Oryzias latipes: one gene and its partners. The protein of the gene in region 2 interacts with the protein of the main gene of each other region in a pairwise test. Links are inferred from orthologs where the notes say so. Each region holds a gene or a part of one and is shown on either strand. Other genes may lie near its edges. The genes, in order: zbtb44, histone-lysine N-methyltransferase SMYD1 and fam204a.

The links.
Region 1: the proteins of histone-lysine N-methyltransferase SMYD1 (region 2) and zbtb44 interact in binary tests that used the Homo sapiens proteins (3 or more experiments, as listed by UniProt). The link is inferred for Oryzias latipes from reciprocal best matches to the Homo sapiens genes SMYD1 and ZBTB44.
Region 3: the proteins of histone-lysine N-methyltransferase SMYD1 (region 2) and fam204a interact in binary tests that used the Homo sapiens proteins (3 or more experiments, as listed by UniProt). The link is inferred for Oryzias latipes from reciprocal best matches to the Homo sapiens genes SMYD1 and FAM204A.

Annotation. Positions count from the first base shown.
Region 1 is NC_019871.2:31,051,258-31,054,905, reverse strand, and holds part of zbtb44 (zinc finger and BTB domain-containing protein 44), read right to left. Parts: intron 3,645-3,648; coding exon 3,493-3,644; intron 400-3,492; coding exon 99-399; intron 1-98. UniProt on the Homo sapiens protein: May be involved in transcriptional regulation.
Region 2 is NC_019867.2:7,701,983-7,706,405, forward strand, and holds the start of histone-lysine N-methyltransferase SMYD1, read right to left. Parts: upstream 2,889-4,423; 5' UTR 2,765-2,888; coding exon 2,643-2,764; intron 2,464-2,642; coding exon 2,287-2,463; intron 2,015-2,286; coding exon 1,801-2,014; intron 1,272-1,800; coding exon 1,141-1,271; intron 1-1,140. UniProt on the Homo sapiens protein: Methylates histone H3 at 'Lys-4' (H3K4me), seems able to perform both mono-, di-, and trimethylation. Acts as a transcriptional repressor. Essential for cardiomyocyte differentiation and cardiac morphogenesis.
Region 3 is NC_019873.2:30,054,648-30,058,963, reverse strand, and holds the start of fam204a (protein FAM204A), read right to left. Parts: upstream 2,809-4,316; 5' UTR 2,567-2,808; coding exon 2,375-2,566; intron 2,290-2,374; coding exon 2,208-2,289; intron 2,125-2,207; coding exon 2,094-2,124; intron 1,556-2,093; coding exon 1,453-1,555; intron 312-1,452; coding exon 222-311; intron 1-221.

The DNA of each region.
Region 1 (3,648 bases), on a different chromosome or scaffold from region 2:
AGGACGCAGTCAAGTATTGGCAGAAGAATCTGCACTAACGGTTCGGATGCAGGTGAGATCTAAGGAAATAATGGGCTCAGCGCCCCCAGACTCCTCACCTGCTCTGGAAGTAGTTTGCTAGCTCGGATGCCTCATGGTTCAGACTCCTCAGGTGTACAATTAAATTGCCAGAGTTGGTGAACATGGCGCCGCATGTTTTGCACTCATAAATCCGCGGCTTGCGGATTATGTGTCGGGAGACCCTCATGTGGTGCTTATATTCACCGAAGGACGTGAATGTGGCGCTACAAATCTGGCACCGGAAACAGCGTTTACCTTCGTGCTTCAGCCGATGCATCTTTAGGGAGTAGGCCCGAGTGAACTTTTTCCCACAGCGGTCGCATTGGAAGGGCTTAATGCCTGCAGGGGGGAGGGACAAGAACACAACGGCACACAGGGACAAAATGTCATCCTCCACATTTTTACTATGGCCTTCATCACTAACACTGTCTCATTTGGATAACACACACACACACAAACACAAAAACAACGGACCATTTCTGCTCATTTTTGGCACATTTATTGTCATCTCGTGACTCAATCTTGCAGCAAATTCAAAAAATGTTTGGAACCACTGATAATATTAAAATCATTTTCTTTTGGATTTTTAAAATAGTTTTATGTTTGATACTTTTTATTTTTGTAAATAAATATATTAAAATGGTGGTGCTGTGGTGCAGAGGCAGAGCGGTCAACTTGTCATTGAAATGTTTTGCAAGGTTTGAATCCCTGTCTGCATTTCCATGTACCGAAGTGTCCTTGAGCAAGACACTGAACCCACATTGCTCCTGGTGGGTGTTTGGCAGCGCAGCCGCCATCGGTGTGTGAATGGGACTGTGACTGTACAGCACTTAGAGAGGGTGGTAAAGAGCTACACAAGAACACGCAGTTTACCATTTAAGTGTTCTGATTACTATAACTATCAATCAATGAATTATTATTTATTTTTTATGCAACAAGGACAAGTACACTGAAATTGAAAGTATTCTTCATTTTTGTACTTGTGAGCTATTCAAACAAAGCTTTTTTTTCATTTGGTAACAGTTCTAGGTTTATATCTTTTCTTTATTCAAGTTTTCTTCAAATTTAAAGATCTGTATATGTACTTTTTTGTTTTCTCTTAAATTTACAACGTGCACCATATTTTTCAGAGCATATGTCGCATTTTTTTGCATAGTTGGGGGGGGGGGGGGGTGACGTATGTGTGACTTTAAGGATAAATAGCAACAACCTCTAGAGGGCACTGAAGACTAGACTAGACAAAACAGCCATTATACATACAGGACCATAAATATTTGGACAGAGACACATTCTTTCTCATTTTGTTTCTGTACATTACCACAGTGAATTTTAAATAAAACAACTCAGATGCCATTGAAGTGCAGAATTTCAGCTTTTATTCCATGGGTTGAACAAAAAGATTGTATAAAAATGTGAAAACTAAAGCATTTTTTAAACACAATCCCTTCATTTCGTGGGCTCCTAAGTCATTGGACAAATGACTTCCATGCTATTGCATGGGCAGGTGTGGGCGATTCCCTTGTTATGTCATTATGAGTGAAGCAAATAAAAGGCCTGGAGTTGATTAGAGGACTCGTGCTTGCATTTTGAAGATGTTGCTGTGAACAGACAACATGCGGTCAAAGGAGCTCTCCATGCAGGTGAAAGGAGCCATCATTAAGCTGAGAAAACAGAAAAAAACATGCCAGAAATCGCTACAGTATTAGGAGTGGCAACATCAACAGTGTGGTCCATCCGGAGAAAGAAAGAAAGCACTGATGAACTCAGAAACGCAAAAAGACCTGGACGTCCACGGAAGACAACAGTGGTGGATGATGGCAGAATCATTTCCATGAAGAGGAACCCGTTCACAACAGCCAACCAAGTGAACAACACTCTCCAGGAGGTAGGCGTATCAATATCCAAGTCTACCATAAAAAGAAGAATGCATGAAAGTAGATACAGAGGGTTCACTGCAAGATGCAAGCCACTCATAAACCTCAAATATAGGAAGGCTAGATTGGACTTTGCTAAAAAGCATCTAAAAAAGGCAGCACAGTTCTGGAAAAACATTCTTTGGACAGATGAAACCAAAATCATCCTCTACCAGAATGATGGGAAAAGAAAAGTATGGAGAAGGCGTGGAGAAGCTCATGATCCAAAGCACACTACATCATCAGTAAAACACGGTGGAGGCAGTGTGATGGTCTGGGCCTGCATGGCTGCTAGTGGCACTGGGACACTAGTGTTTATTGATGACGTGACACAGGACAGAAGCAGCCCAATGAATTCTGAGGTGTTCAGAGACAAACTGTCTGCACAGATCCAGGTGAATGCAGCCAAACTGATTGGACGGCGTTTCATAATCCAGATGGACAACGACCCAAAACATACAGCCAAAGCAACTCAGGAGTTTATTAAAGCAAAGAAGTGGAATATTCTTGAATGGCCAAGTCAGTCACCTGATCTTAACCCAATTGAGCAGCATTTCACTTGTTGAAGACTAAACTTCAGACAGAAAGGTCCACAAACAAACAGCAACTGAAAGCCGCTGCAGTAAAGGCCTGGCAGAGCAATCAGAAGGAGAAAACCAGCATCTGGTGATGTCCATGAGTTCAAGACTTCAGGCTGTCATTGCCAACAAAGGCTTTTAACCAAATATTAGGAATGACCATTTTGTTTTCAGTTATTTCATTTGTCCAATTACCTATGAGCCCATGAAATGAAGGGATTGTGTTTAAAAAATGCTTTAGTTTTTCACATTTTTATGCTATCTTTTTGTTCAACCCATAGAATAAAAGCTGAAAGTCTGCACGTCAATGGCCTCCGAGTTGTTTTATTTAAAATTCACTGTGGTAATGGACAGAAACTAAATTAAAATAGAGGGAAATTCCACAGTGGGATTCTCCAATGTGGTGGTGAATGCAGACTGATAGAAAAACACAGCAGATTTTCAGTGTTTGGTAGTGACACATAAGAAGAAACTGATTTAGTTAATTGAATCTAATGTTTAGTCGACGTGTTAACATGTTCTTTATGGTTGTCTGAATAATTGTTCTGGTACTTTTGAGCATTTAACAGTTTTCAAATGTTCACTTTTTCTTCCATTTATAATCTGTCTTTTCGTTCACCTTAAGCTGATCCTGATTTGACCTCATTGAAGTGTTTTATCGTCGCTGCAAGTACCAGTAAAACAACATTTAAGGTGTTCTGTACTTGTTGCAAGGACAACAGTGTGACAGTGTGTGTATGTAAGTGTGCATGTATGCAAGCAGAAGTTCTGTTCCGAAGTTCCCTAAAGTCATTGGAAAGTGTGCTAAACATTGTTCGGCACATTGACCCCTGCACCGACCTCCTTAAACACCAGAGCCAATCCGGATCCTTTTCACACACCCTCTAAATGATTCTTCCAGGTCCTGCAGTAAGCACAGACCGCGTGGACGTCTCACCTACCCGAGTGTATGAGCATGTGCTGCTTTAGGTTCTGAATGCGTGTGAATCGGACCCCGCAGGTTGGGCACTGAAAAGGCCGGTCAGGGCCGTTGGTGCCGGGCCGAGCAGACGGGCTTATGTACAGGTGATATGGATACTGAATCCCTTCCAACCTGA
Region 2 (4,423 bases):
CATATCATCACCTTTTTGAGGTTTTAAGTGTATTTCAATGTTAATTCCTAACAAAAACAGCCCCAAAGTGGTATTTTGATTCATTTACTCATCTCTGAGTAGTCCTCTAAAACCCTGAGAGTTGAAGAGATGCTTCATCTTTATGCAGTTTTATTACTCAGGCCCCTGAACACGGCCTGCAACTAATGATGACGTCACACTATTCGATTGGCTGTACGTTGGTCCAATGACATGTGAGATAGTGATCGGTCTGGATAAAGTAGGGTACGACCGTACAAGAAGAAATTGGGAGTTCCGTTGTAAAAAAAGCTCCGACTTAGAGCGAGATGATCTTTTGCACGGGCTTTTATTATTCTTATGATTATTATAAAGTGCATGTTTGCATATACAGTACAGACCAAAAGTTTGGACACACCTTCCCATTCATTTGAATGAATGGGAATGAATTCATTTTGTAAATCTGTGCGGCCAGTGTTTTTTACTTGACCAAGCTGACCCAGAAGGGTTAGGATTAGGTTAAAACGTGCTAACAACATTTAGCCGTGGATGAACTTAAGCTGGAATAACATCAGCCTTTTATTATGTCTGGACCCGACTGTAACACAAATTCTCATGATTGTTTTCACGGGTTCTCAAATGCTCCAACATTTGTACTATTCATATCTCTGCTTGGAGATACGAATCTGCCAGGAGACACGGTTCTCCTGCGTCTGGCAGCTCGCTCACGCAGAACAGCCGGACGGACTGCGGTCAGAAGCCTCCTCCGTTGCGCACACCGTCACAAAGCACCTTCCCCTGCCTGCAAACCCAAAGCATGTGCAATGTGTGCATGCGCACGATTGCGCAACAGTACGAGCACAATCGATTAATCCGTGCGCACGGTTTATCTGATTTTCTTTTTTTTTAACGACTGGCACCAGGGGGGCTCAGTACTAAACAAATACAGTTTATTGCAGACCTAAAACTGTTCAAATGTACTTGTTCCAGAATTTATTTTTTTGAATGGACGTACACTCAAACACACCCGAATCCTCTGAAATTTGGTAAATATTACTTTTTTTTCACTTGAGACCACACAGAACTTTTCGTATTAAAGAACTGAGATGAAAAATCGCATTTGTCTGTTGTTTCAGCACTTACTTGCCATGATTAAGGATTACGGTGCAGTTAGGCCAGCAGTCATGATTCACCAGGCACAAATTTGGAAAAAGACCCACTCCTACTGCCTGCAGGCCCCTCTGGTCACTCACAGAGAAACCATTACAGTTGATCTGGAGGAAAAAATTGAACATTTTTAAGGAGTTTTCCTAAAATATGTCTTCCCTTTTTTCTTGTATACTCATATGCTGAGAGTTTTACTGTTTACAGTAAAAGACCAAATGCACAGAATACCAAAATGAGAGAATTAGTTAACAATTAATTTATGTGCTGGACCGAGACCACTATCAGTAAGTACTGTATTATCCATTCAAAGCCAGTTCATGTCGCAAATAAAATTCTTGTACGTGAATTGCTGTTTTTCTGACTTTTTCTAGGCTTTACAATAAAAACGAATAAAATGTGGTAACAAAAATATGTCATTGATCCTCTGACTTTAATAAGATGCCTGGATTTTTAATTGAAAAACACGAAAATTGCTCTACAGCACTGCAGTACTTGTTCTTCTCCTGGATTTAGTTGTGTTTGGTGAGAACAGGCACTTTGCCATCTTTTTGATTGTACAGGAAGGCTGCTTCCACTTCCGAACAAAACGAATAACAGAACAGAACTGGGATGCTACTGTGCGTTTTTTTGACGTACCACTCCAAATATGTGTGAGATGTCATCGACTGTGTGCTGCTTGCTGGTCCGTGGCCAGAAGTCCAGGAAATTGTGGATGTCCACTTTGAGTTCCTTCAGCTCGTCTTCTTGCATGTCCGTGATGTGGTCCTCCAGCTCGTCCAGTGTGGTCAGCTGCATGTCAGACACCGTGCTCCCATCTTTGTCGAGACGCCACAGAATCCGGGCCACCAGCCTGACCACACAAGAGAAAACAAGGAAATGCACACATGGCCCTCTATGGACAAACACCTTAATGAACTGCTTAGATGTATGGTTCTTTACAAATAATAGTAGACACTTACGCAGACTTATAGTTAAAAAAAAGTTGCTTTTTCATAATTTACATTACACACAAAAATTCAGAATAAAGTATTCTAAAAGAAAAATCTGTATGAGAGCCTTACCATATGCTATAAAAGCGTAAAAACTCTCATAATCCAGTGTTTTTTTTTCCTTCTCACTTACCGAATGTTCTCATTTGGTACTTTTCCATAAGCTTTGATGGCGCTGCATTCTTGCTTGTGTTCAGCCCAGCCAGCACGCTGGCAGGTTCGATCACAGTAATGAGCAAATTTACACTGACCGCACCTCTGGAGCTTCTCTTGCCTGCGGAAACAGCTGTGGCATACGCGTTCCGCTAGACTGCACATAAAGAAAAGATTGTATTATTAATTAAAATCAAAAATACAGTCGTCAAGCAATTCTTTTCATGTATAAAAGTTTAAAAGTCACTACATTTATTCAAAAAAATAATTAGAAATACCATACAATTTAAATAAATCTCCAGCACAGAGCCAATAAATCTAGCACTATCATCATACCTGTCAAATACAACAGCTGCAAGACTGGCCTCAGAGAATATGACGTCTCCAGCCCAAAACTCCTTGGCGGCCTTTAAACCCCTCCCTTTCCCAGGTGAGTCAAAAATCACCACGTTTTCCATGATCAGTGCTTTTCCTCCTGAAATTGGATAACCTGTGAGCTTATCAGACAGACCTGTGGAGCAAAAGTCTAACTTTTCTATATTTTCTGGGACAACTGCACATTCATGGCTTGTTGCACTGAAATAGCCACACACCTCTTGAACTGTACCACGAACCACAGCAAATAGGTGTGCGTCTTAAGTTCACAAAGAAAAAAGAAGTCTTCCATGGAAAATTAAGAAATATAAAAAATTGGTTGAAACATCACCCAAAAAAAAGACTTGCTGATGTTCACTCACCAAGAGTCTTTCAAATGTGTTCAGACTTTTACATTTATGGCATTTCTATGCCTCCCCCCCTGTATTTAGGTGGTAGTTGCCCTCTGAAGGTTATTTTTGTCCCTCAGTTGTGTCTGTCCATCAGGGTTCTGTGGTGACGCTGAGCAGCTGAAAAAAGTTCTGCAGTCCTTCTCTGTCTCACTGCCTCTACTCTGTTCTGGTGCTTTCTCCAACATGTCTACCTGTAAAATGAGTCATGAAATGACTGAGTGACACGAAGCACAGGTTCATTTCCAGCCCTGACAGATTCAATCCTTCATTTTTGGCAGTTTTTCAAACTATTGATTGAATTTTCTTTTACATTACTTTGAGATAGAAACATACGACAATAACAGAAACAAGTTTAGTTTTTAAATGTGTGTATCACAAACATTTTTAGGGATGCTCTGTGTTAAAGGTGACATTTTTTTACTCAAAAGTGTTTTAGGAGCAAAAAAATGTCACAGACACAGTCTTCAATCCATTCAACCCTGAATGAAAGTCAGCTATGTTCCATGCAACTCTTTAGTGTAAAGAAACATATGAGCTGTTTTTAATGACAGAAAAAAAATCTAAGTTTTTTTTCTCTGGTGATCACAGCAGAATTCCTCTTTTTTTTAACCTGGTTGCAAAAATATTTAATATATTTATCCAGTAGGTACTGTATGCAATTTTTGCCCCCCTCTATTAAAATCTTTCTGGTTCATACTTCTGTCTTCCTACAGAATCTCAGCTTGGGTTCAGGTTTTTTCTTTTTTTTACCGTTCCGTTGTGGTATTTCCAACTATTTTTGAAATACATAATAAGTTATATAGTTAACTCAAGGATACTCCAATGTATTTCACATCTAGTGCGAGGTGCTTGTGCTGAGTTGCTCTTTGTATCAAGACCTAATAAATTCTAAGCCATATTTTATATCAGAATTTTGACCGTCCCTATTAAAGCTGCAACTGTTCTTTAGTTTTGTGTGGTAAATTTGCAAAAGCTCTTTCGGGAGGTGAGAATCATGAAATTGTTGAATCATCCCAACATAGTCAAGCTTTTTGAGGTCTATAACTCTGTAACAGGTTTGATTACAACCTGAACAATAACTGACGTGTGGTTATTTATTGTTCAGGTCAGTTCAAGTATGTTTCAAGGTTGTTGTTTTTTTGTTTGTTTTTTAAGTTGTTTTAACCACATTTTTAAACCTGAAAAGAATATTTAAATGACTAAATACCTGGAATTTAAAAAATTGCTAGAGTTAACATCTTATAGTTCAGCTTTTGACACATCCACTCAGGGGTGGCCAAAGTCAATAAATTTCCACATTTGGTTTAGCAGAGATTCTCCATGTGCGTTCTGTTTACATGCCATTTCTGC
Region 3 (4,316 bases), on a different chromosome or scaffold from region 2:
CATTAAAAAGCAGAGCCAAAAGTCCTTTAGACAGAGCAGCACTTCAAAACTAAGGGGAGGGCTTTCCATTAAGTGAATGGAAAAGGGCTGCAGGACTGAATGGAGGATGTCTGCGTGTGTTTTTGTTCCTCTATGTCTTTGCGGCAGAAATGGCCACGGATCCATTAGCCTGATTTGTCACAGCAGGAGCACCCCAAAGATCTCTTATCGAGTCCACGTACCTCTCGAGTGGCGAGTCTGTCGCTCATCTCCTCCGCCTTTGCAAAGTCCCCTTCAGCGATGGCCCTCTCAATGTTCTTTTCTAGGCCGGACTGCAGCAGAGGGGGAAAGAATTTTCAAATAAGGGGAGAGGAAGAAAAAAAAAATCAAAGAGGAACTTCAAAAGTCCCCGGGGCCTTATTTTTAATACCAATGCCATTACCACAAATATGTAGATTTCGCTTCACAAATGAAAACCTTTTTGATTGGATATTAGTGGGAAAATCTTAGAAATGCTACAGGAGATTACCAAACATAAATGTGCTTCTTTAATTACACATTTCCATTACAGGCCTGGGCGAAGGGGGTTGCAGAGAAGCCCCCAGTTATGGCAGGGAAGCTGGTTCTGCCGTGATGAGCAGAGCGCCGCATTTCCTCAGCTCCAAAAACATTCTTATGGAACGAAAAGGCCTCTAATTATTCATTTACTCTTTCACTTTTTTCTACACATGCGCTCAAAAATAATGACATCATTTTAAATGAACGTATGCCACTGGATAAAACAGGACATCTGGTGTGTCTTAGTGGAACAACAGAGTGTTTCCGTGTTTCAAAGAAGATATTAAGGATGGCGGCCGGCCTTTAATGAAGGGAGCCGTCATTACGCTGATGAGACGACTCTGTTTTATTCAGCTGCTTCCTCTTGTTTCATCCCTTCACTTCCAAATGAGGCCGAAATCAGCAAAAACCCAATTTTCTGCTGCTGTGAGATTAATTAAGCACAAAATACTCCAAAATAATCATTAAAGGAATTTCAGAGCAGTTCCTATTGACCCGCTCAGTTGAATGTTTTGCTTCATTGGCAGTTTGCCTACAATGACTCACATCGATGAAAACGCTCTCATTGACAGAAAGTTTTCATTTTTCAATTATAAAAGTAGTTAAATGTTGCTATCTGCTTGTTAAGGAAATGTTTCTCTCAGATGCTTTTGAAGGAACTTTGTCTCCTTCTGTTGAACGAATGTTTAATGTCGGCGAAACGCCACGCGTTCATCTGAAGCCGTCAGAGATTCAAGCTAATCTCATCGGGAAACACGACAGAACGCGTGACTTTTAAGGAAGGTTCCTTTGTAATCCCCGCGTCACATCAAACACACGGCAGCACCGGCACACAAAGGATGACAAGGTGTCGCTAACAACTATGACAGAAGCAGAATGAAAGTGAAGAAGATCCGCTGGAGGAGAGTCTGTTACCTTTGGAGGCGGTTTGGAACAAGGAGGAGGCTGAAATCGATCATTTACGCCGAAATACTGCTGTAAGTCATTCCAGTGTTTCTGCTGCTCCTCTTCCTGCTCCCTGACAACAAAAATGGAGGCCATCATCATGGCTGAAGCTGCTCTGCTGAAATGAACTGCCTCAAACCTGCATTGGAACCCGGCTGACCTGAAGGAGTCAGGAGCAGAACTACGGCCATTTGTAACATTAACCAGAAATAAATCCATCTTAGAGTCAGACAGATCCAATACTAAACAACACATCAGAGAGTTGGTCATCGCTGTCAGACCAGATCCTGAGGACTGATCCCAGAGGCTTTTCCATCGCCAGCAAACACCCCGATGAACCTCATCTGAAGGATGTCAAGTGTGTCCTAAAGAAAATCAGCTGTTTGTCCAAAAACATGTTTTTCTGAAGGATTTAGGGTCAACGGGAAACATCTGCGTGTTTGATGTAAAAACACAAGCTTCATCAAATGTTGGAGTGAGATCCTGGGACCGTTACCCCTTCATCTGTAGAGTTACACTTCCTACACTACAAGTACATGGGCTATACTGTACTAATACTCAAGTATACTTCAAATAAGTGTAGTCCTGCGTTTTGTGAAGGGTTCCTGTACCTGGTTCCTGCAGGTTCCCGTCTTTCTGCTCCTGTAAATGAAAACAGACTCCTCATTAGGTGGAAACCAGTAACAGAACCTTCAGCTGAAGCTCCTCGTTTATCATAAATAAACCTTTTCTGCGTCTTTTTCTTCGTTTTTCGCGAATCTTTATCGTTTTCGTTTCATTTTTCCTCTTTCGCAGGTCCTGGAACTTCTAAAGGAGGAAACATCTTCAGTATTTTACAGCTAAGGACAGCACAGGCAGCGCTGTTAGATCGTGGAGAAGACAGAGGACTCACTCGCCACATTTCCTGGGGGACCCCCGGCATGTCGCCTGTTTGTGGGTTGCTGCCGCCGTGGGCGGACGCAGTCTCCGCCGTGGACGGTCCTGCGGGACATCCAGGGGGTTTAACCGAACATTCACCACCGTCTTCCTCATCTGGACTCAGGTCTTCCTCGGTCAAGCCTTTAGGCAGGAGTCCGCTGTACATTTTAATGAGCTCACTTTAGAGCAAAAATGGACAGAAATTCATCCACTAAACGCTGCGGTGACTGCGTGCATGTACTTCCGGGTAAACAACGTGACGTAGGCTCTGTGGAGGTGGTCATTGGCTAACAGCTCGAGGGGGCGGGGCGGGATGGAGAATATTGTCCAACCAGCTGTTGATCAAACAAAACCATCGATTATCGGGTTGAAGTCAAACGAAAAGAGAGAAACTTGAGTTTGGACTTGAAATTTGGCGTAAAAAGCGACTTTAGTGGAGTTTCGGAGCCTTTTGGCGGCCTCCGTTTTCAGAGCAGAGGCTGCTGGGAAGGAAGCGGCTTCCTTCCCAGCAGCCTCTGCTCTGCTGCTGCCTGTGAGATGGAGGCGCGCAGACACACTGCAGGTCCAGCTTTAGCAGGACTCCTCAGATGTGAGGCTGGTTTGTGTCATGTTCCGGCTGCGATAAGCCTCCCTCTGTGACCAGCAGCTCTCCGTCTGCGGGAAGCGCTGCGGGCTGACATTCCTATTAGAATGATTAGCATGCAAATGCGGCGCCGCCCGCGGACCTGGCGCGCGCCGCTCCGCACAAATTGCTCTTTGACTGCGTCCGCTTCCACTTTCTGCAGTTTGTTTCCATGTCGGAGCGAAAGACAGATGAGCAGCTGCAGAGTGTTGAAGCTCACTAAATATCTAATAATCTGTCACATAGGGATTTATTTCCTTTTGGTTTTTAAATCATTTTGAGGTTATAACATCATTTTTGTGAACGCAGCTTTAAACAAAAGAATGAAGCAGAAGGTTCATTTAATGCTCAGGTGGGCGTGTCTCTGCTATTGGTAATGATGACATTATGATTTCAATAAGTACATTTCTCTTGACTAAAATATAATTTAAGAAATCTTTAGCATAGAGAAACCGTAAAGAGATCATTATAATTTGTGTTTTTTTCTCTCTAATTAGTTCTTACATTTCAGACAAAAAGCTGCAGATTTTGGTTTCTGTGTGTGAAAAGTTGCTGTCTTTGTTTTGAAAGTTGTGTGATAATGCTCTGTGAACGCCACGCCAGTCATGTGACCACGGTATCTCCTGCAGTGGTTGACAGGCCGCAGCTTCACTGGGACTTTAATTACAGCGCGTGACAAGTTCATGAGCACATCAGAGATTGGATGTAAATGAGAGTCACAAAGCCTGGTTAACGCTGTTTTGGTTCTACTCTTGTTTTTATTGATTAGCAGCCTTTGTGTTCTATTTCACACATGAATTGATGCCCCAGCTTTGTTGCCCAGCGTCTTCCTGCCCCGCTTTCCCTCCTCCCTGCTCCTGGCACGTCCTCCAGTTCATTATTTCTGTCATTTCTTGGTAATTTGGAGTTGGCTTTTTAAAACTTAGAGCCTCGTATTAAGTTTTGGCCGTGCTGGGAAAGAGGCAGGACTGTAAGAGCAGAGAGATAAACTAATCATCTTAAAACCCTAATTATTAGTATCTTACTGTGACAGACTGTTTTTGCCAGCCAGCCAGATTGAGCCTCAAATGAGGAAAGGCGTATCTGTGTGAGTGGTAATAATTTAAAGTCATCTGGATCTGGCTGGTGTGGCAGAATTCATTAGCAGAGATTAGCACTGTGTGTACAAAGTAAATGAGATATCTAATAGCAAACATGGAGGTCTAGGACTCTTCATTTCCTTCCCAGTATGAGGGATGATGTTAAGAGGTGATTATATATGCTTTAACGCCGCGGCTTGGGCTGCCTTCACTCC